2 linked regions of the Caenorhabditis elegans genome follow. The protein of the gene in region 2 purifies or fractionates together with the protein of the main gene of each other region. This does not show direct contact. Each region holds a gene or a part of one and is shown on either strand. Other genes may lie near its edges. The genes, in order: M116.5 and lys-7.

The links.
Region 1: the proteins of lys-7 (region 2) and M116.5 fractionate together in Caenorhabditis elegans (co-fractionation; one large-scale study listed by BioGRID). This does not show direct contact.

Annotation. Positions count from the first base shown.
Region 1 is NC_003282.8:8,411,227-8,425,344, reverse strand, and holds M116.5 (Calponin homology domain-containing protein), read left to right. Parts: upstream 1-4,283; 5' UTR 4,284-4,336; coding exon 4,337-4,439; intron 4,440-4,484; coding exon 4,485-4,546; intron 4,547-4,871; coding exon 4,872-4,961; intron 4,962-5,041; coding exon 5,042-5,119; intron 5,120-5,259; coding exon 5,260-5,433; intron 5,434-5,844; coding exon 5,845-5,907; intron 5,908-6,265; coding exon 6,266-6,382; intron 6,383-6,532; coding exon 6,533-6,721; intron 6,722-6,769; coding exon 6,770-7,135; intron 7,136-7,275; coding exon 7,276-7,464; intron 7,465-7,546; coding exon 7,547-7,915; intron 7,916-8,041; coding exon 8,042-8,233; intron 8,234-8,311; coding exon 8,312-8,677; intron 8,678-8,728; coding exon 8,729-8,848; intron 8,849-9,272; coding exon 9,273-9,610; intron 9,611-10,183; coding exon 10,184-10,387; intron 10,388-10,709; coding exon 10,710-10,752; 3' UTR 10,753-11,080; downstream 11,081-14,118. Other genes in the region: T26A8.3 (Transthyretin-like family protein), read left to right, coding at 6-106, 156-213; M116.1 (F-box domain-containing protein), read right to left, coding at 13,178-14,075.
Region 2 is NC_003283.11:3,477,325-3,486,893, forward strand, and holds lys-7 (Lysozyme-like protein 7), read right to left. Parts: upstream 5,277-9,569; 5' UTR 5,276-5,276; coding exon 5,031-5,275; intron 4,864-5,030; coding exon 4,587-4,863; intron 4,487-4,586; coding exon 4,157-4,486; 3' UTR 4,108-4,156; downstream 1-4,107. Other genes in the region: srbc-31 (Serpentine Receptor, class BC (Class B-like)), read right to left, coding at 1-3, 54-130, 178-272; srbc-30 (Serpentine Receptor, class BC (Class B-like)), read right to left, coding at 707-853, 898-996, 1,045-1,155, 2,508-2,973, 3,028-3,122; srbc-33 (Serpentine Receptor, class BC (Class B-like)), read right to left, coding at 5,767-5,922, 6,013-6,213, 6,266-6,627, 7,199-7,275, 7,322-7,416; srbc-32 (Serpentine Receptor, class BC (Class B-like)), read right to left, coding at 8,347-8,499, 8,549-8,653, 8,699-8,800, 8,851-9,212, 9,261-9,337, 9,482-9,569.

The sequences.
Region 1 (14,118 bases), on a different chromosome or scaffold from region 2:
TTCAGGAAGTCTATGAAATCTTCTTTGTAATTCAACACGACTGTACTCCAGACCGTCAATTAATTAATCAACGAGTGTCAATGACCGGATTCCAAGTTATGAATGGGTAAGAAGATAGGAATACTTGTTCTGCTTTTATAATATTCACATTTCAGACAATTCTATCACACGCTGGATATCGATTTGCAGAAGAGCAAAAGACGATTGGTTTAAAATTGAACAGAATGTAAATTAAATGAACGTTTCAAGCAAGCATTTAATCATAAAATTATCGATAAAACGGAAAAGTTATTCTTTTAAATTATAAAATATTTCTAACTAGTAATTTAAGAGATACATATATTTTTAATAATGGACTTTACTAATAGTAAGAAGCTTGCTATCAGAATCTTCATAGTAAAGTTCTGGAAAATATACCGTATTTCTTCTATTAATATAGCTGCAATACTATTTTTCGATGGTCTTCCCGCTTGCAATACTAATAGGGAGTGCAAGACTATTAGGGAGTGCAATACTAATTTTCAGAACATTTTCTGACTTTGAGCTTACTAGTTTTTTCCTGAAAAAGCTCGAATCATATATAAAAATTCAGAAAATTTGATTTTCATATAATTTCAAAAACTTCAATCTCGTAGAAATGATGTGAAAACTGTTGCAAAATAGGCAAAAAATGTTGTTGAAATCCTGAAATTAGCGAGACGGGTTTGCAATACAAAAAAGTTAACGCAAGACTATTAGAGAGTGCAAGACTAATAGGGAGTGCAATACTAATTTTCGGAAGGTCTCCGAGGGGCAATACTAATAGGGAGTGCAAGTCTAATAGGGAGGCCATATTAATAGAAGATATACGGTAGCTGGGCAGAAAATATAAACTTACAGTGATAGGAACTGGAAGATCACCAATCATTGCTCACATACCGATTACAATTGTTTTCTTTTTTTTTCACTGTTGTAATTGTGACCTGGGAAATTTAGGACTTTGTAAAATTCATTTTTTGAAATCAAAATTTTCTAATGGTTTACCCCACTTACCAGTACAAAAAAGTAGAGCAGAAGCGGTTCAAATATGGAAAATACGGAACTTATTTGTTGTTGGTTCATTTTATAGATGCAGTTATATTCGCTCTAAACTTTGTTCCAAATATACTAAACTACAGTATCCATTACACGAGCTTGTGGATGAATAGCAATAGATGTATCAAGTATTCCGAGTAAATCTTTTGAAGTTAAAAGCTGTTAGAAATATATTCCAATTTGATCGACTACATCCAATAAATAATATTTGAATTATGAGTGGTGTAGTCAAAACATCAATCAATGCTGTCCATATTATAAAATCAGTTACTCGGAAAATACCTGATCTACTATATAAAACATAACATATAACAAAAGGTATTATAATCTGAAAAACAAAAAAAATGATTTTTTTCGATTTTTGCGTAAGGACTAACCGTTTTTGCAAGCAATGTAACAACAGCCTGCAATAAAATATATTTTTGTAAATATAATTGTTGCTCATTTTGTGATTGACCATTAGTCCGGAAACTTAATAAAATTGGTAAATACAAAATAGGTGATATTATCAAAAATACAAAATTCAATAAGACGAATAATATCTGAACAAGAATAAATTAATAATGCAATTAATCAGTTGTAAACTCGCCTCGTATATAATAATGATTGTATTGAGTGCATGATGGGAAGAAGTATAGGAGCAAATTTTTTAAGGATACAAGAAATATGAACGTATGAAATATTTCTACAAAAACTATAAGTATAAATCCAATTAGAACAAACCAGAAAAATGCAAAAATGTAAAGGAAACCGCTGGAAAGATGAGAATTAAACGAGGAGCATACTGTTATTTCAGCACGATTGTTCCGTTTACCATTGAAATCACGGCTGGGAAATTTTTGGTTTTTTTTGTTTTTTGTTTTTTGGTTTTTTTGGTATTTTGACGAAAAATCGATTTTTTGGTTTTTTTGGTTTTTGGGACCAAAAAACCAAAAAATAAAATAAAAAAGTTTGCCGTTCCTAGTTTCGACTCGAGACTATTCTTTATTAAAATACATTAAAACATGTATTTTAAGACAGTTGTGACGTCAGAAATGTATTTTGATACATTTTGAAACATTACTGAATAACCCGATTAAAAATCAACTGAAGCATAAAAAATTTTTTGGTTTTTTTTTTTGGTTTTTTTGGTTTTTCGAAAACTTCAATTTTTTTTTTCTTTTTTGGTCCAAAATTTCTTTTTTGGTCCCAGCCCTGATTGAAATGCCACAGAGCCGAGCGCCGTTTTCAGATTTATTTTTATTATAATTTTCATTGTATATTTTTTTGTGATAAGAACTAAAAAAAACAGCCTCAAACTTTCAAACGGTGCCCGGAACGATCGTTCTGGCCCGAAAATATTCCGGAAACATACAATGAACTTGGTTTATAGTAACGAATCAACCTTACTCCAAGCATAATTATTATAATGCATATAATTAAAAAAATGAATAAAAATAGGATCTTATAGTCATGTCATAGAGATGATGAACAATCTTTGGGAAAACCTGAAAAATCAGATAGTCCGGTTACAAATTTCCATCCTTTTCCAAAACATCTAAAGTACTGTCGCATATTCAAATTGTTATAATGTTTACAAAAAAGATGAATATTTTAAACATACAGTTTTTTCTGACATACAATACTTAGTGTCAGACAATAATTAGATGAATTAGAGAGTGCAAAATATCCATATTAATTTTCGAGCAAGTTTTATCTGTTTCTTCCATTGAGTAATGACACCATTTCATCAGTTTCAATATTACGGGGACCATAAATTCTGAGAATTGCACAACATATTTGACAGAATAGCGAAGACTACAGTAACTCTTTAAATAAAAGTTTAAACAAAAGTAAAAGTTTTTCTAATACTATTAGGTCCAATTAAGAAATTTAAGAGTATTCAATTGAACTTCAGCAGTGAACAAGAGTGTTCGTACACCGATAGGTTCAGGCAGCCTGGCAGGCATGAATTATTACGTAGTTCGCCTCAAACAAAGGCAAGACCTACATTTCTTGGACCTTTCGGAACTACATGAAATTTTTAAACTTTATGATAAATTTTAACTTTTGCAATAAATTTAACTGTTTTCTGACGACGATTAACTTTGTGGACATAAATATAAAATGGAAATACTAGAAAATGACTGAAGATGACAAATAAGAAACTTAGTTTTGAAATTTTTGCATTGATTATTTTGAGAAGTCCGTCGTCATCCAAAAACTGCGTATTATTCATAATTGCTGTAGAACATATAAATTCCAAACTACTCAGCTGAAGGCTAAAGGTATGAAGGTGGAAATAGTTTTATCACCTGTTACATGCCGGAGAATTGACTAAAAATATTTTCTCAGCCAAAATTATTGTTTTCTTCTTAGAAATTCATTATGCCTCAGACTTGATTTTTTGATATCGAAATTCTGCCAAAGAAATTCAACTGGGTTTTCAATATTTCTGGCATTTTATTTGTTTTACCACTGAGCTTCAGTGTTCCATTTGTAGATTTTTCAGTTTTCCGTGAGAATTTAGTCAAAATGCGCAGAAAAACTTATTGAAAGCTGAAGTCTATTTATCATTTTAATTGTTGACAAGGGTTACGGTAAGCGACCGCAAGTCCGCAAGCATCGTCACGTCACAGTGCACAGATAAATTTGTTTTTGAATAAGAATGTTTGTTGCTCTCGTCTTTTTTCTTGTGATTTGTATTCATCTCTCTAGGTTTTTTTCGAACATTTTCTACCACTTTCTTACGAAATTGTTTAAAATATAGCTTCATGCTCACAAATTACTAGTTTTCACTAGAATCCGATTTTGGGTGTATTTTTTCCGATATCTAAATATTTCCATACAAAAAATCGAATCTCCTGGCTCATGTTCAACGATTTTCGAATTTTTGATGCTGTCCGCGCTTTCTGTCTCTCCCTAACAAACGGTATCAGAGTTATTTTTGTCAGAAACGATTTATACTGATTTACTCGGAATAGATTCGCTTCAAAAACACGACCCTTTATGGAAGTAAGTGTGATACCAATTTTCTGAGTAAAAAATAAAAATTTTTGGAAAGCAGAAGCATTTTTTAATCAAAAGAAACGTTTCCAAAAATTTTATTGTAGTAAGTAGCTTGGATTGCTCTAGCGAAAATTTAAAGTTTCAAGTTTTCTCTATATTGTGCTCTCATTTTCATATTCTATCTCAAACTCTACATTTCTTCTTCAAAATGTTATTTTCAGAGTATATAATCATCTCAAGCGTTTCTCAATTGTTATTCACATGAATAAAAGAAATGGTTGGAGAAAAGAATCGTAGTCAACACAAAATCGATCCTTCTGATGCTCAGGAGAAAGATATTTTGGATCATTATGAGCTGAATAGGGGAAAATTTAATGGTAAGCGTAACGTTTCCTGAAAACTAAATCTTCAATATTTTGCAGATGTCCGGGACACAATGCAGAAAAAGACGTTTACAAAATGGGTTAACAAACACTTGACCAAGGTGATTTTTAATTTTGAAAAAATGCTCGAGAATTTATGAAAAACCAAAAAAAAAAGGTGAAAATGCTTGAAAAATGCGAAGTTTCGCGGTTTACAGAAATTTCAATTATTTTTACACTGAAAACATTTCAAACACATGAATAAAAATCAGTTTGGAAATTTGTTTTTTCTCGAATGAATTTTTGTATTGAATTGTTGAAATTCGGATTTTAAAAATATAGACTTTTGCTAAAATAAACCAGATTTAGCCTGAAATCGACAAATAGACAACGAAAACATTATAAAATTTAGCTTACATCTTGCCATTTTTATGTCAATTTTTTCAGACGGATCACACAATCGTCGATTTGTTTGTCGATTTACGGGACGGGTTTGCACTGATCGCGTTGTTGGAAGCTCTTACTGGCGAACGAATTGTGAGTTTTCGATTTTTTTAAAGATTATTCGCCTGAAATGCTTGTTTTTACTGAAAAATTAGTGTTGTGTTATTTTACAGCAAAGAGAGAACGGCTACACGCGATTCCATCGGATTCAGAATGTACAGTACTGTCTAGACTTTTTGAAGATGAAAAATGTAAGTTTTCTGGAAAGACAGGCTGAAAAAAAGACGAATATTGTAATTTTGGTTTCACGAAAAAACTTTTAAAATTTATTTTAGCTGAGTTTTCTTTAACAGTTAAAAAAACGAAGGAAAATTTATTGGAAGTTTTTCAGATCAAACTAGTGAACATTAGGCCGGAGGACATTGTGGAGGGAAATGGAAAACTGACACTCGGACTCATTTGGACAATTATTCTCAACTTCCAGGTTTCAGTGATTCGTCAACGTCTTCTTTTGGAATCTTCACAACATGAACAAACGAATGAAAAACACACAACCAACTCACAGGTGTTTTCCTTTTTTTTAATTAATGTATTTAACAAGTTCGAAATGGGTTTGGAGGGGGTTAGAGCTGAAAATTCACTAAAAAATTGAAAAGTTTCCGATATCTACGAAACGCGCATGCGGAAAACGTAGTTCAAACTATCCGTTTCTGGCAAAATTTGCTTTAAAAATTGGAAGTTTATAGGAAAAGTTCTTACTTCACCAAGAATTTAGAGATTTTCTGAAATTTGCCGAAAGATTCGTATTTTTTTTGTTTGAAGTTTATCAAGAATTAGGATTTCTCGATTTTTTAGTTTAGTAGTTCATGCCGAGAGATTTTCTGAGTTATGCTGGATATTTTCGAAAAATACAACCCAATTCGACATGCTAATCTTACTTAAATATTGACGAAACAATCTAATTTGTTTTTTTCAGGACTCCATTCATAGAAGTGAAACGACATCGGCGCGCGATGCATTGCTTCAATGGGCCAAACGGGTATGAAATACAATATTTTCATAGTGGGCTCCAAGAGCTCGAGAGCTGGAAAACATGGAAAAAAAAACATTAGTTTGTTCTTACAAGCTGGTTAATTATTTGAAAATTTTCATGTTACTGTATTAAAGATGATGATACAAAATTTTGGTAAAATTTAGGATTAGATCTAACTTGGGTTTTCTTTTCGAAATTTGGAACATTGAACATTTTCCGTAGAAGTATCATAAATACAAAAGTGACGTTCCGCTTTCAGACACAGTTTGAATTTGTATAAAAATCTATAATAAACTATTTTTAAATGTCATCAGAGTACTGTAAATAGTAAGTTAATTTAGTGCCTGAATATTTTCCTTTTCAGACGACTGCTGAATATCCACGTGGGAATGTGATTAACTTCTCGAATTCATGGCGTGATGGACTCGCCTTCAATGCAATTATTCATCGTTATAGAAGCAGTGCTATCGATTGGAATAAGGTATTTTACATTTGTTGCGAAATCAGTTCTAGCGCTTTTTTAGAAATATGTACAATTGTTTTTCGTCAAATTTGTACTTTCTGAAAGCACACAATCGCTGGACACAAGCTATAGATTGTGTTTCTATTTAATTATAATCTTGATTTACAGATCAATTCGGATTCAGTTTCCAACACGGAACGATTGAACATTGCTTTCGCAGCAGCGGACCGCGAATTCGGAGTCGAACGTCTTCTTGATGCTGAAGATGTCGACACAAACAATCCGGATGAGAAATCGATCATCACATACGTTTCATCGCTTTACAATGCTCTTCCACAGGAGCCAGAGATGAGCAAAGTGAGCATTTGGTTTATAGCCCTTAAAATCGAATTTTCAAGTTTTCAGTTCGCCGCCAGTGGTGGAAAGCGCCTCGAAGAAGAGATTGGCAAGCTTCAAGCGGATGCTGATCACATTTTCGAAGCTCTCGCAGTAATATCCAAGGATGAAGCTCTCCAAGAAAGCCCGTCATTGCTTCTGGTTTCAAAACAAGTTTCCAAAAAGATTGAACAATTGAAAGTATTGTTGAAGCTAGTTGAAGAAAAAAAGGATACATTTATTTCGAAGTGTAAGCTCGTGATGAGGACGGCTGGGCCTGAATCTGATGCGAAAGAACTGGATTCTTTGATGAAACATGTTGAAGACGCGTATTCAGATGTTTTCGAATTGATTTCTGATAAAGAAGGACTAATTGATCGATGCAATGCTTCTAATGTTAGTCGTTAGACTGAAAAATATATTTAATTCATTAGAGCCCCATCATTGCCTCTTTAAACTAAATATTCGTGTGTCACACACGGTTTGTTGTTTCACAGAGAGTTGCGAGAAGCAATCCAGTATCCAATGGTTTACAGATAAATTCGGACTCAGTTCCCAACACTGAAAGCCTGAACCTCGCTTTCGCCGCAGCGGACCCCGAATTTGGAGCCGGACGTCTTCTTGACGCCGAAGATGTCGACACAAACAACAATCCGGATGAAAAGCCGGTCATCACATATGTTTCGTCGCTTAAGAATGCTCCACAGGACCCAGAGATGAGCAGAGTGAGCATTTGGTTTATAACCCTCGAATTCGAAATAAATCCACACGAAAAAGCTAAAAACATGCTAATGTTCAAATTTTCAGTTGGCCGCCAGTGGTGGAAAAGGCTTCGAAGAAGAGATTGGCAAGCTTCAAGCAGATGCTGATCACATTTTCGAGGCTCTCGCAGTAATGTCTAAAGATGAAGCTCTCCAAGAAAGCCCGTCATTGCTTCTGTATTCCAAACAAATTCGATTCAACAAAATTCAAAAATTGAAAGAGTTGTTAAAGCCAGTTGAAGAAAAAAAGGATACATTTATTTCGGAGTGCAAGCTCGTGATGAAGACGGCTGGACCTGAAGCAGATACGAAAGAACTGGATTCTTTGTTGAAACAAGTCGAAGACGCGTATTCAGATGTTTTCGAATTGATTTCTGATAAAGAAGGACTAATTGATCGATGCAATGCTTCTAATGTTAGTTGTTAGGCTGAAAAATATATATTTCATAAGTTTGAGTCCCATCGGGACTGATAAGAGCCTTTTAAACCTAGGCAGAGACTAGAGATTATGTTTCTATTTAATTATAATCTTGATTTACAGATTAATTCGGATTCAGTTTCCAACACGGAACGATTGAACATCGCATTAGCCGCAGCGGACGCCGAATTTGGAGCCGGACGTCTTCTTGATGCTGAAGATGTCGACACAAACAATAATCCGGATGAGAAGTCAATCATCACATACGTTTCGTCGCTCAATAATGCTTTTCCACTGGAGCCAGAGATGAGCAAAGTGAGCATTTGTTTTATAACCCTCAATTTCAAAAGAACACATTAAAAGCTAAAAACATGCAAATGTTCAAGTTTTCAGTATGTCGCCAGTGGTGGTAAGCGTCTCGAAGAAGAGATTGGCAAGCTTCAAGCGGATGCTGATCACATTTTCAAGGCTCTCGAAGAAATATCCAAGGATGAAGCTCTCCAAGAAAGCCCGTCATTGCTTCTGGATTCAAAACAAGTTTCCAAAAAGATTGAACAATTGAAAGTATTGTTGAAGCCAGTTGAAGAAAAGAAGGATACATTTATTTCGGAGAGTAAGCTCGTGATGAAGACGGTTGGGCCTGAATCTGATGCGAAAGAACTGGATTCTTTGATGAAACATGTTGAAGACGCGTATTCAGATGTTGTTGAATTGATTTCTGATAAAGAAGGACTAATTGATCGATGCAATGCTTCTAATGTTAGTCGTCTGAAAATACCATACGTTTGACTGAAAAATTGAATTTTCCAGAGAATCGCGCATCCACAAACAGAGACTGAGAAGATAACGAACGAGATCGAGCTGCTAAAAGAGACGTGCAGCTGCTGTACTCCATATCAAATTGAGAAGATTTCCGAGAATTATTATAGGGTACGGTAGTTGACATCTAATGGGGGTTACTGTAGTATTTATGTTTCGGGAAAAAAACACATTTGTTGGTTATTTTTGCAGCGTTCAAAAAGCAATTTCCGAGGTTATTATTTTTCGAAAAAACAATCGAAAAAACAATGTTTTTTTTTTTCAAAAATTCGAATAATTAAAAATTTTATGACAGCCCAAAATTTCAAAAAAAAAATTTTACTGAAATCTCAAAGTTTGTCATCTTTTTCATGTCTTTCCATGGGTCGTAAATTATTTTTTGTTTGAAATGTTTTAGCTAAAATTAGCCCTTTTCTCGAAATTTTGAGACATTTTTGAAACGTCCCAGTATGAAATTATGTTTCTTATTCTGCTGAATTTAAGTCTATACAAGCGAAAACACAAAACCATTCGTCCTATTTTAAAATTATTTCAGTTTGGAGATACCCATATCAAGAGAATGGTTCGTATCCTTCGATCAACTGTGATGGTTCGTGTTGGCGGTGGATGGGAGCCACTTGAAGAGTCACTTCAAAAACATGATCCATGCCGTACAAAAGGACGTCTCAATATCAATATGTTCCCAGAAGCTCGTCCAATTCATGCTCTTGACTTGATGCAATCGTTCACTAAGAATCGGCATGCCAAACAGATGCCCATTGCCGGAACGCCTGGACCAATTATGAAGATTCGCGAAAAAACTGAGAGAAGTGTTCCCATGAGCGGAGGACTCGGAGGAACCGCTGGTTACACAGTTACAACTGAATCGCCTAGGTAATTTATTATCATTTTAAATTATTTTGGGTTTATTCTGTTTTACTTTGCAATGTAGTAAGAATATGCATAAAAGTTACTATAAAGTTCCATTGAAAAATGCATTTTAAAAAATCTAAGAAAATACCTCAAAATTAGACTTTTTTAAATTTATTTTTCTGAAAAGCAAAAGATTTCCCGGTTTCGAAACGACAACTATAATAAAAATCGATGTGCGCCTTTGAATAGTACAGTAATCTCAAACTGTGGTATTTTTTTATTGTTTTTCGTTAAAAACTTATTTATTTATTTATTTATTTAAAAAATTAAAATCAAAGAAATTTCAAGAAATTGTGAGAAATTCTATGAAAATTCCGCAGTAGCGAGAGTTTCAAATTACAGTACTCTTTAAAGGCGCATACTCGTTTCAAACGAGTCGTTTGTATTTAACAAAAAAAAAAGTCGTGTCGGGACCGGGTACCGTATCTTTTTAGCAAAAATAACGAAATTTCGATACGACTGTTTTTGCACTCTTCTTCCATATTTTTAGTATCTTTAAGCTGAAAACATAAAAATTAATCTGAAAAATTGCAGAAAAACGCCTCAGCGCCCGTTTCGAATTCCACGTACTCCATCGGACAAGACCCCTGGACGCCAAAGCCGTGTTGGATGTGTCTCCAATTTGAAAAACTCGATCGTCGAACCGTCGTCACCTTCCCAATCCGAATCGCGAGCCTCACCTGAAGTCGCAGACCGTCAGAAGAGGATTTCATTGTCGTTGAAAGAAAAAGGAAAAAGGTTTTTAAAAAATGCAGAACGAGCCAAATAGATTTTTTCATGCCAGAAAGCTGGAAACTTCCATTTTTACTACCGAAATCAAATTAAAAATTAAGCATTTTGGTGGAGATACTAGGAATTTCTTTTGAAATTATCGAAAAATTGGATATTTAACTGCTGTTTCTGTGCTCCGACTTTTTCATAGAAGTGTTTGAGATTTCAATTATAATTGTTTTTTTTTTCGGCCAAAACTATTCGAGTTGGCAGTTATTAATTTTGTCAGGCTCTAAGCTTTAACTTGTAAAAAATCATTTAAAAAATTCAAGTAAAATTAGAATTTCAGATATTCTCCACAAGTGGGGCCGTCTTCTTCGACTCCGAAATGATGAAATCCATACGACAAAATTGTATTTTTTATTGTTATTTTTCTTTTGAATTGTTGTTTGTTTTCTTTTCATCTAGTGTTCCCATTTTCAATATATTTTCTCCTAAAAGTCAAGTTTCGGGCAGTCTACAGTTGTGCTCCTTTACCACATAATCTTGGGTTACTGTAGTTGGAATCACTTGGCTATTACTTCTCCTCTTCAAGTTGTTTTTTTCTAGACACCGGTACTCCCCTCTTCCGGTCTCGTTTATGTGAATATCATTCCGGATTATTTGTTTATTGATGATGTCTTTTGTTTTAATTTTAACAACTAAAAATCATATTCCAATTTCCTAAGACTAGAGGTGTCGATGGGTCTTTTTTTTTTTTGTGTTACAATCTTTTTTTTTTATTCAGATGTTGAAACGGGGGAAATAATTTATCTGTATTGTTAGATTAAGAATCAACCTGGGCCGCAAGACTACTCAAAGAAATATGACATGTTTTGAGGGACTTTAGTGTTGATAATTTTTTTTTAGTGTAAAACTCGAAGTCTTGTGACATTGAAGAAATCATTAAAGTACCTACAAAATTGAATTAAATTTCCGAACTATGACTCTGTGACTTCAGTTTATTTGAGAAATAGAAAAAAGTGATATTCTGCCAAGCAGCCTCTAATAAATGCCGAGTGTACAGACTCCGCCCCTTTTTCGCGTTTTTCGGGTTTTTTTTGGCTTGCGAAAAAATGTCCCACTTCGTTTTCATTCACAACTCCTGAACCGTGTGACTTCATGCTCTAATATTTGAAATCCTACTAGAAATATTTTGCCCCACGGTGGAGCAGAAAACGGCACTAAGTTCGGAGCAAAATTGAGCCCAGGGCGGCTTTCCCCAGTTTGAAAAAAAACATTTTTGCTCTTTTTACCCCCAAAAAACCATGTTTTAATTGAATTAAAATTCGGGTTTTGCTCGGTTTCATTTCAAATTCATGTGCAAGATACTACTCAGAGAGACTGATTTTTTGAAAAAAAGTTTGAGTTCATAAGTGCAAACGAAAAAAGTTGTGATAAAACAAAAGGCCAAAAAATGCCATTTTGCCAAAAAACATTTTTTTGCGAAAAAGTAGTTTTTCGTCTTTATCTCAAGTTCTACTTCATCTTTTTTGATATTTTTTTTGCTTACCCCACGTAAAAAAACACGCTGAACACGATTTTTAACTCAGAATTAAGAAAAGTTCTATGAGTCGGCCGAGCAAGACGAATAAGTGCCAAATTTTGCACACTTTTCCATTTTCGTGAATCTACTTTTTCAATCATAACTCGGTCAGTTTTCAAGTTTTCTTAGTTTTCTAAAAATTGACGTGTAGGTGTCTCATCAAGACGCATCGAGACATATAAAATTTGTAAAAAGTTCAGTGGGAAAATTTTTCAAGAAAAAATAATTCAAAAATTTAGTACTGGGGGGAGTGGTTTCCTGCGTCTCCTGAACATTTTATCCACTAATGTTTTGCGGAATGTATTTTTAATTCATAGTTTTTGATTTTATCTAATGGAAGATGAAGTTTCGTCGCATTAGCAATGCTCTGCCAAGAGATATTATTTTTTTTAATTTTCAGGCCAAAACTTGTTTTTTTTCTATACATCTGTCTGTGTACAAGATATAGCCCTCAACTGTACGTCTCCCTTTCGGGAATTTTATGATGAGTACAATGCTGTAATAAAATTTTCAAAAATTAGGTTTCTCGCTGACTTATCAGTGATAAACGGTTTTCGAACGTCTTTCCCCAAATAGTCATAATTGAAGAAATCGGAATCGAAAGACGACTCCCTCCAGAAATTTACCTTCCTTACTTCCAGTTTGAGGTCTCACCCACATGGCCGAGTGGTTAGTGCGTATGTCTGCGGAAATTTTGGTAGTGGTTTCAATTCTACCAATTGACAAACTTTTTTGTTTTTTTTTTTGAGTGTTCGGGATTCGAATACTATATAGAAATACTCGATTTTATACAAAATATGGGTACGTCTCCCCCCATATAAATCCTCCTCAAACTTCAATCAATCAAAACTCAGCTTTAACTGATTCATCGGGTGCGTCTGTTTTTGGTCAAACCGAACTCAAAAATCAAGAAGACATTGACCCACTGAAAATTTCACGAACCCTCTAACAGGTTCGAGGCGAAGCCGAGAACCTACGCCCGGCAGGGGGACTCGCCTTACACCCCCTACAACTGGCGGGCCCGCAGGGCCCGCTAGTCCTTGTTTAGACAGAAATATAGTAACAAGCACTTTATTAACAAGTGAATTAAAAAAATATATTAAAAAGAACAGGAGGGCGCATAAATGTTTTCAAAATTAATTGTCACATTCAAAATTTGATAGGGATATTGTGATATGAGGTTAATTCAGAAAAAGAGGTGCATACGAGGGTATGATGAACAGAACGAACAATTATTTAAGAATCTGATTCGAACTCCAAACAATCATTTCCGACATTGACTGATCTACAAAGATAGATGCCTTTCTTCCATCGATACATACAATATCAAATCCTCCAATGACACTTTTTTCCAACTCTCCAGGTTCTTGAATCAACATTTCTCTTTCCACGGGTGCAATACAGTAATCCACATTCTTGAAGATTATTTTACGACAATCGTCATTACTATAATGAGGACGTCCATGATAAAAACGAGAAAACTCTAATCTTCTGTTGGATCCGTGAATCCAATGTTTCAAGAAGAGGTTTACATCTGTCAAAGAAACACTCATAATTTGTGATTTCGGATTAAATGCCAATAAATCATTAAATGCCAATAAATCAGTAATTAATCTTATTGTTGCAGAGCGATGATTTTGGCAAGCAATTGAATGAATTTGCTTAGGATCATTGAATGGCAATTTATTCAAACGAATAGCTTCAGATTGAAGAGCAAACATTTTTAATGTTTTTTCATAAAAACTAGTCTTATAATGTCCGTAAAAAATAGTTTGGAAAGTTTCAATATCCAATCCAGCAAACATTTCGAAAATGTTCATAGTCTCGCAACGTATCGTGTTGTGTAAAGAAAGCTTCACCTTTGGACGGTGAAATATTTCAAGAATGTGACTAATGAACTGCGAAACATTAACTTTTTGATTAATCCACTGAGTGGTATCAATTGTTTTTTGACTATCAATGAATCTCAAAAAAGTGGTGTCCGTTAGCAGGTAGAAATTCGTAGATCGTTTAGGTAGGTAGATGCTGATATTTATGACACATGATAGTTGAACATACATGCTTTTCGCATTCAGACCCAGACGTTCGGTTTGATTTTTAGCCACTGCAGATGTAAAAGAGAAGCCAATCCTGTAAACAAATAACATGCTGAATTAGGTTACTTCGGCAAAAA
Region 2 (9,569 bases):
ACACTGAAATTAGGGTTTATTTGAAGAAGGAAAACTGAATAAATTATGCTCACGTGCCAAGCCAAAACATAAATCTAGTGCAAAGCGATAGTAAAACAATCCCATTTCACATTTTCGCTGTGATTTTCTTCTGAAAAAGTATTTTGATGGGGTTGTGTACAGTTGTCATGAACTCACAAAACAATTTTCCAAACTAAATTTGTGTTTAGCAATACTTCAATACTTGCGCAGACCATACCAGTGAAGCATACTAATAATACGGCTGTTTTCATTATACAAAATTGTTTCTGGAAAATATGCGAGATTAAAAAAAAGGTCAGCAACTGACATCTCACAGGTCTTCAGAAAATAAACGAGCCCGTGAGATGTCGGCCGTAATGGTTCTGAAAGCTACATTAGCAAGTTTCTACCAAGAACTAAATTTACATCAGTTTTCGACAATGCTAATAAATCTGATTTATTAGTGAAAAGATTTATTACAATACCACGAAAAAATTATTTGCTCAGTTTTCCGAAATCTGTAGAAATTTATTAGGTTCAATAAATCCATTAAAAACAATTTTTGCATGTCAATCTGTAACCTCTGAGCAACAAAAAACTGAGCAGCCGACATTGAGAGAGGTCCTCTTGCCTTTAAATTTACCAAAAAAAAATAGAAGGGATGTGATTTTTTTAAAATATGTATAAGCAATGATGATTTAAATCGTTATTTGACATTTTTAGATAGTGTGACCGCAATTGAACTCTGATTTTTCGGTTTTTCAATTCTTCCGAACTTCAAGAGAATCGAGACGACAGTCGACTCAATGGCGCATCCAATGATTTTCATTACAACTGTGAAAGGACCAAGAACCTGGAACGAACGAATTTCTATCTGAAACTGGAGGTCTTACGTACTTCAATTGAGAAAATGTGAGGCCACATGCCGCCACAGAAAACTGGGATAAAGTCGAATAAGAAGACTGTACAGGTGTCCAGTAATGCGAGACGATTCGCCTGAAAAATTATTTGAAAAGTTTGGTGGAAAAAGTACGCTAGCCTTACTTTTGAAAGTTTATTATTGTTTTTGTGTTGTTGTTGTGACTGTTTTTTATTCCAAAATAGTAATTTGATGGATAGAACTATAGATACAAAAACGTTGATAGAAAATACAATCTGAAATTCGAGAAATTTTTATGGATCTTGTGAGATGAGATAAATATGTTCAGGCTTTATACAAATAAGAATTTATCTTGGTTTTACACAGCCAAGATATTGTCGGCTGCTCTAAATGTTCCCATACTCAGACAGACCGGAGTCACGGCTGAGCGACAGAAAATCACTGCTAAGTAGCAAAAACTAGTAAAACCATAGATTATCAGCAGAGAACCACTGCTACTTAGCACACCACCGCTAATTAGCTAAAACCCACTGCTAATTAGCTAAAAACCACTGCAGAACATTGATTATTGATTTTATTTTGTTTTTCTTCGTCGTATTTCCCATATTTCATTTTCTCTACCTTTTTTATTGTATTTTTTGTGTGATATGTTATCAATATTTGTTAATTGTTAAGTCCAGTGTGTTTTTCGAAGATTTGTATCATTCCAGGCTAGAAAAAGAGGATTATGGTCAGAAATCCAAGAACAACAGTTCGAAGATTTTTGAATTCAGCACCCCGATGTCTTCTTGTTAAAAGCGTGACAGTACAGTTACGCTAGGAAAATTTTTTTAAAAGTTTTTATTGTGTCTAAATAACTACTTTCAGACCCGACGGACAATAATCATGGTGATCACCAGCCGGGAAACAAAGGTTCATTCAATTACTCTCCTTCCAAGTGTTGTGAATATGCTGTTCAGGAATCATCTCAAAGTCCGATTGTAGGTTTATTGTTCTTTATTTTAAAAAGCCAGCGAATATAAGTTTTTAACTTGAAAAAACAATGTTTTCACACTTTTTTGCAGCGATCATGCCCGTGGTTTGTATCGAACAAAACACGACGACCAGATACCACCAAAAATTGTGCTGCCAAAGCGTCCGATCATCGATTGCCAGCAATTCTACCAGAGCAGCGAGGATATCGATGAGGAGCAAGTTCCATCAACTTCGAACGCCGCATCAACTTCAAAATCTGCTGGCAAGTGAAAAACCCCCAGACTTCCCAGAAATTCACTAGTTCTCCTGTTTTCTGATACTTTCAAAACTTGTTTTTTTTTTGTTTTTTTCCATTCTGCGTTAAATGTTTTTTCTGTTGTTTTTTTTTTTCATTTTCATAATAAATCGTGTTATTTTTTTATGGTTTTATAAAAGTTTGGCTCTTCGCAAAAACAAAACTAGCTAGCTAGAAAGCAGAACTATGTAGCAAAACACCACCGCTAATCAGCGGAAAAGCACAACTACTGCGGTTGACTAAGCCGTGGCACAAATGCTGATTAGCAGTGATTTTCTGTCGCTCTGCCGTGACTCCGGTCTATCCGTATACGGATGGCAAAACCGTTAAGTGTCGGCTGCTTGCCCTCAGACTTACACTTCTCTGGAGCATGAAGTAATTGTAGAAGCATTTATTAATTGCACATCCAAACTGCGTACACGTTGCAGGGATTAAGTCTTCATCAAAGCCACAGAACCCATAAAGAACAACATTTTCAAATAGGCCATATGCCACAGCAAATAGGAAAATACAGAAATTCGGGATTTTCAGAGTAATAGTTCTGTATAATAATGGAACGCATACTGCAGTCGCTCGTTCTACTGCAATTGCAAGTGCGACTATAGACCGACAAGAGGCGATATTTGACCAAGGAAGGCCCAAATAAATTAGCAAATTGCGGTGCTCACTCATGAACTCCAAATTATCAGTGTTTATAGTGTTTGGTTTTATTTGAAGAAAAATTATTGTAAATGAATTATGCTCACGTGCCAAGCCAAAACACACATCCAGTACAAAGCGATAGTAAAACAATCCCATTTCACGTTTTCGCTGTGATTTTTTTCTAAAATAGTATCTTAATTTTTTAATAGGTAACATGTAGAAGTAATAAACTTACAAAACAATTTTCCAAACTAAATTTGCGTTTAGCAAAACTTCAATATTTGCGCAGACTATACCAATGACGCATACCAATGCTACGATTGTTTTCATTATGAAAAATGTTCCTGAAAGATGTAGGAATTAAGATTCGGTTGCTAAAATGTTCGGGGGTTGAAAAACAAACTAGCTTGTATTGCTAAATTTACATCCGGTTTCCAAAAAGCCAACAAATAATTTGTTTGATTTATTACTGCAAAAATTTATCACGCTTAAAAAAGAGGTTTAAGTTGTAAAAAATCCATCAAAATTGGCAACAAAATTCAGAAATCAAACTGCAGATACTGCAGATATGTAACTATGATGGTTTGAGCTGAATAAAAAACTTGCTAAATATTTTCTGCGCCGAAGAAGGTGCGAGCTAGACAGTTTTATAAAATTTTGAAAAATTAGGACATTAAAAGAAAAGGACATTCTGAAATTTTAGACCAACCGACGAGAACTATTTTTGTCTTTTAGAGTTTTATTTTGAAAATGAATCCTGTTGACTATCACGGGATTGACCACCAGACTCTATTCGGAAAATTCTCTTTTGTTCTGAGTAGATTTAATTCTTTTTCACAATGAGTTCAGGTTTTTTGCCACTTTCACAAATGAATTCCATTTAATCAGCTTTAACACGTTTTAAAGTTTTTAAATAACCTTCAGAATTAAAAATTAGATAACTGTTGAAGATATTTTTGCCCCAGTTTTTGATTAATTTGATTAAGCTTTGAGATTTAAAAATAAAGTTGAATTAAAAAATTCTTTAGGTGATTTGCTGTATGAGAAATATACATCCGAAACAAAGATTCCACATACATTTTACATTTCATTAAAAAACGGTTTGTGATGCGTAGAATCTGTGAATAATATAGGTCCAGTGGAGGGCGGCAAACAATTTTTCCCGGCACATTGCCGGAATTGGAATCAAAATTTCCGGTAAATCGGCAATTTGGCGATTGGCCAAATTTGTCTACAAAAAAATTTGCTGAGCGACAGTTGCCGCCCACCGTATAGGTTCCAAGCATTGTTTAAAAATCGGGTTTTTAATGTATGTTTTATTTGCTTAAAACCTTTTTTATTAGAGGACGAATCTTAAGAAGTTATCAAATTTTCAGACTTCCTTGCACAAATCCTCCAGCATAAATCTTCCCGTCTTCTTCAACAGCCTTGAGCACATTTCCAGCTAGATAAACATCTCTGTTGACAGTGATACCACAGACTGTCTCATCTTGCGCAAACTGCTTGACAGATGGAGCTGTCCAGCATCCAAATTTACGGAAGTCATTGAAGTTGGCAGGAGTTTCTCCAGTGACTCCACCGCTGTACACATTCCAATACCAGAGGAGAACATCATTTCCAATGTTGCTCCATCCGGTCGTGATCTGATTCCAGTCGTAGTAGGAGGTGTAGATTCCGACAGTTAATCCGGATTGCTATAATAATTTTGCTGTAGATTTATAGAACAAGCGTACTACCAGCATACTTTTTTATTAATTTAAATATCTCAATATCTAAATTCTACAAAACACTCACTCTGGCTCTGGAGACAATACTGTTGATGAAGTTAATATTGCTATTCGCGTTATTTGGCCAGTTAGTTGGCGAAGTGACCTGAATCCAGATTGCTCTGACTGTGATCGCTCTTGCAGTCAATCCCTGGATGATCTCATCCAACTGTTGGTAGCCTTGCTTGTTTGAAACGGGCTGTGGAGTCATATAAATCTCAATTCCGAGTCCAGCTTTATAAGCATTTTGAATAGTGACGCAAGAGCTGGTGTCAAAGGATCCTTGTCCTGCTGGGTTGTATGCACTGGAAATTAACGATACCTAGGGTTTAACCCACCAGAACTCAGATCTTGACTATTTACAAGTACTACTTAACACATTTCGTTTGGGTTCACAAATTCAGTAAGTCACCTTAAAATGAAAATTCTCTGCGAAAAACTAGTTGAAAAATCTCCTCCGTTCAACTCTTACCGAACGAAAACTGCACAATAACCCGCTTGTTTAATGCATTGCAGTTGGCTGAGCGTGGTTTGGACATAAATATCCAAGGCGTAAGCATAAGATGCCAAGTTTGACGGCACATTTGGAGCAGGCTCCGCAATGACTTCACTGAATTTGACTGGAAGGGATGAGTCAACAATCGGGGGAACCTTGACTGATGCCGAATGGCAGAGTACTGCAAGTACTGAGAAAATGACAATCGATTTGTGGGCCATTCTGAAAAGTTTTAAATTAAAATCTAGAAATGCATTAAAAAAGAAGAGACAAATTTTTTGAAAGAAGGTGAGTAGCAACCAATATTTATACTGTTTACTTCAGTGTGCTCAAAACGGCGTAGTTATCTGAAAATCAAATTTTAAGCTTTTTCGGAAAAGATTACCACATCAACAAACTCTCCTTATCAGTTGCTCTTCACATACTTTCGTGTGATTATGTTGCTGAAAATGAAAAACACATGAAACACAGTGTCGATTACCGGAAATATGATGACTTTACTTGGTTCACATTTTCATAAACACCTTGATTTTTTGATTTTTTTTTTAATTCTCGTTTCACAATGCTCAACATAAAAAAATTTGAGGCTTCCAAAATTTATTTCGCCGTAAAAAATGAAGAATTTACAAACAATTTTATACGAATTGCTCTTAGAGGTGAAACTTCAATAAAAATAAATACGATAGTTTTAATTGTGAAAAAAGTATTTATTTCATGTTTTCGAGTATCTTGACGATGCTTTTCTAACCGCCACGTTCTGAATACTAACTGAATTCTCATCTTTCCTAAGCACCAAAAGTCTAGATACAACTATTGATTCTATGGCGCATCCGATGATTTTCAGTACTGAGTTGTAGGGACCGACGACCTGGAAATTGGAGTTTTATTTTTGAGGTAGAGCTTGTTGCGGTTGTTGCGGCGGAACCCGTGAAACGTCTGCCGCGGCACAAAAACCCACATCAAATGAAAAAACTGGTGCAGTAGGCCACATAGTCCCGCAAAATGATGGAAGAAAATCAAATAGTAGAACCACAAAGGTGTCTAATAAAGCTAGCCTATTGGCTTTGGAAATTTGATTGCTAGATTGCCCATTAGTATTCCAGATAAATAGTTTTATAGATATCAGTATAGAAAACACCAGGATCGAGAAAAATATTATCTGAATTTAAACGAAAAGCTTAAAAAAAATTATTTTAAACTATTTTTCTTACACTTTTATGAATTGTCCAAAAGCTGTAGAAACAAGAGTTCACCGCGCATCCAAATACTTTACAGTTTGATGGGATATCCAGTTTGTAGTCGCAAAACTTAAAGAGCCATATCTCCTCGGAAAACCCGAAAGATATGGCGAGCAGGAAAATAAGCCAGTTTGGGATTTTGCTCCTGGTTGTACGGTACAAAATTGGAAAATATGCGGCAATGAACCTTTCGAATGATATTGATAGGGCGATTGCAGATCGGCAGGCTGCAAAATGTGACCAAGGAAGCGCGGAGTATACAATGAAACTGTTGTAATTGACCATAAATTCGGGAAAATTCATTGACAGAATAGTGTACACAATATTGCAAAACACTGAAAATTGAATTTTTTAAATTAAAAGTTTGAATTTCCCGCAAAAACTTTTTTTGCAACATTTTGAATTTCCTGACATGTTTTTTTTTTCTAAAATTTCAACTTCGCGTTAAAAATTTTTTATCATGAAGTTTGAATATCATCCAAAATTTTAACTCAAAATATTTGAAATTAGCGCCAATATGTTTTCTCAAAAAAAAAAAGTTGAATATTCCCCAAACCATTCTGCAAGAAAATTATTTTTTCTCAAATATACTTAAACTTTCGGCAACATGTTTTATCAAAAAAAAAAAACATTTAAATAATTTTTTTTCACAAAATTGAATTCCGCGCCTAATATTATTTTTTGGTGAAATTAATTGAGCAACATTTAAAAATTTTGACATCATTTTTTCGATTTCTGCAAAAAAACTTTAAAGAAAAATAAAAATTTGAAGATCCGGCTATTTTTCATCCAATTGAAAAAAAATTCTCGCTGGAATATCGGGAATTTTTTTTCTAAAATTTCTATTAAAATGATGAATCATAGAATTTTCATGGAAATTTTCAGCTCAACAACCTCCACACTTACAAAAAGTGCCAAAACATGTGTCCGTTAAAAATCGATAATAGAACAACTGCATGTCGTCATTTCGATTCGCTTTCTTCCTTAAAAAGTTAACATTTTTCGAAAATCTAGTCATTAAAAACTCACAAAACAATTTTCCAAATCAACCTCGCATTCAATAAGACAGTGATAAAACCACTTACAGCTCCAAGAGAGCATATCAAGTAAATTATCATATCCATAGAAATGTAAGTCAAAGAATAAAAATCAAAAATTTATGATAAAAATTAATATAAAACGAGAACTAAGAAATACTCAATTAGGTTTGCCAGAAGGCGTCCAACTCCTGGTAATTGGATTCCAAAATAACAGGAAATCAGTCAGAAACATGTCTATAATTTGAAAAGGAAACGTACACATAATTATGATGACTAAACTCGCGTAGATTTTAGTAACATTGCTACCAAAAATTCTAGTTTCAAACATACATAGTAAATACAATATTAAAATTGAAAAATTAATGATTTCTGTTTGCCAGTTTTGGGTTAATGAAAAAACGTTCCAAAATTTTTAGTTCCTAAGTTTTCTGTGATTTGAAGTGGTATGGCTATTGTTTTAAATATTGCAGCGGACATTTTCTGGTCCGCTGCAATATTTAAAACAATAGCCATACCATTTTCTGGGTCCACTTTTGGAACAGAACATGAATCACCCAAGAAACATTGTTTTTGCTTTTTTGCTTTCGATACAGAGCCAAAATCTAATTTTCATTCAAAAAGGCAATAACAAGTCTGGCAGCGTAATTATGACAATTCAGGAATTTTTCCTCTTCAGAGAATTGTTATGGTGCAGTCGACATCGATCAAAGTCGGAGTTCACACTTGGTGTCACGCTGTCCCATCGAGGTGTGATTTTCAAAAAATACCGGAGTGTTTCGCGTGAAAAATGTGACGTCAGCACGTTCCTACCCATGCGAAATCAGTTGGGAGGTCTGTGTTTCAATTCCCGCAATTCTTGTAGATCTACCTTGTTCAAACCGGAATGAGACAATTTGCCGTCGATGGAAATTTTATTTTCGGCCGCATTTTTGCGTCACGATGTTTGCACAAATAAGGTTTTCATGAGACAATTATTTAAAAAAGAGCACAACGCTAGTGATTAAAATCGAACAATTATAAGGACGAATTTCTTGAGACTTTTTGAAGTATAGTTGTTACAGTACTTGCTGCAACTCCATGATCTTTTTTCAGCAGAAGTCTGGAGACGAGGAACGAGTCAATTGCACACCCAGTGATTTTAGAGACAGCATTGTAGGGCCCGACGAGCTGGAAAATGTCACAAATTTTTTCTATTAATTGTTGCTCAAAAACGTACATCAAAGTTGAACATTGGTGCTGTAGGCCACATGGTTCCGAAGAAAGATGGGACAAAGTCAAAAATGAAGACAGTGCAGGTGTTCAGAAGGGCTAGTCGGTTTGTCTGGAAGCTTTTGGATTTCAGATTTCGAAAAAAAAATTAAACTACCTTCGAAAGATGCTTGCTGCTCTGTTTGCCTTTGGAATTGTTCCACACAAACAATTTCACTGACAGCAATATAGAGGATACAAGAATTATGGCAAATATTATCTGAATTTTAGGAATTCAGATATTTGGACTCGAAAATATTTATAGCTTACAGTTCTGTGAGCTGTCCAAAAGTTATAGAAGCATTGATTCACTGCGCATCCGAATGCTCGGCAGTTTGGAGGAATGTCAAAACTGTAGGAGCAAAATCCGAAGAGCACAAGCTCTTCGGATAGGGCAAATGCAACAGCCATGGAGAAAATGGAAAAGTTCGGAATTTTGTTCCTAGCTGTTCGGTATCTAATTGGAAAATACGCAGCGATGAGTCTCTCGAGTGAAATTGCCAGCGCAATTGCAGACCGACACGTGGCAAAGTTGGACCATGGAAGGCCCAGGGTCACTATGAGACCACGATGATTACTGAATAAGTGGGGTACCTCCATTGTAAGTATCACAAAAATAATGTAGACGAGCACTTAATAGATCAAATTGAAAAAAAGGTTTATGTGAGATAAAAACTTACAGCAAGTCGAAAAGCAAATGTCCATTGTGAAACGGTAGTAGAAGAGTTGCAAGTCGTCATTTCGTTTAGATTTTTTCCTGAAAACCGTATGGTTTGTGACGTCACAAAGAATGCGTAAATGTGCAGCCGACGGAAATCGGGGCCTGATTCCTGTCGGCCGCGCATTTACCAACAAATTTTCCCGTAAGGCAATGATATTTAGCATGAAATTTTAAACTTACAGAACAATTTTCCAAACCAAATTCCCATTCAGAACAATTGTAACAAGTGAGCTCACTGCTCCCAAAAGGCAAACAACTGTTATAATGA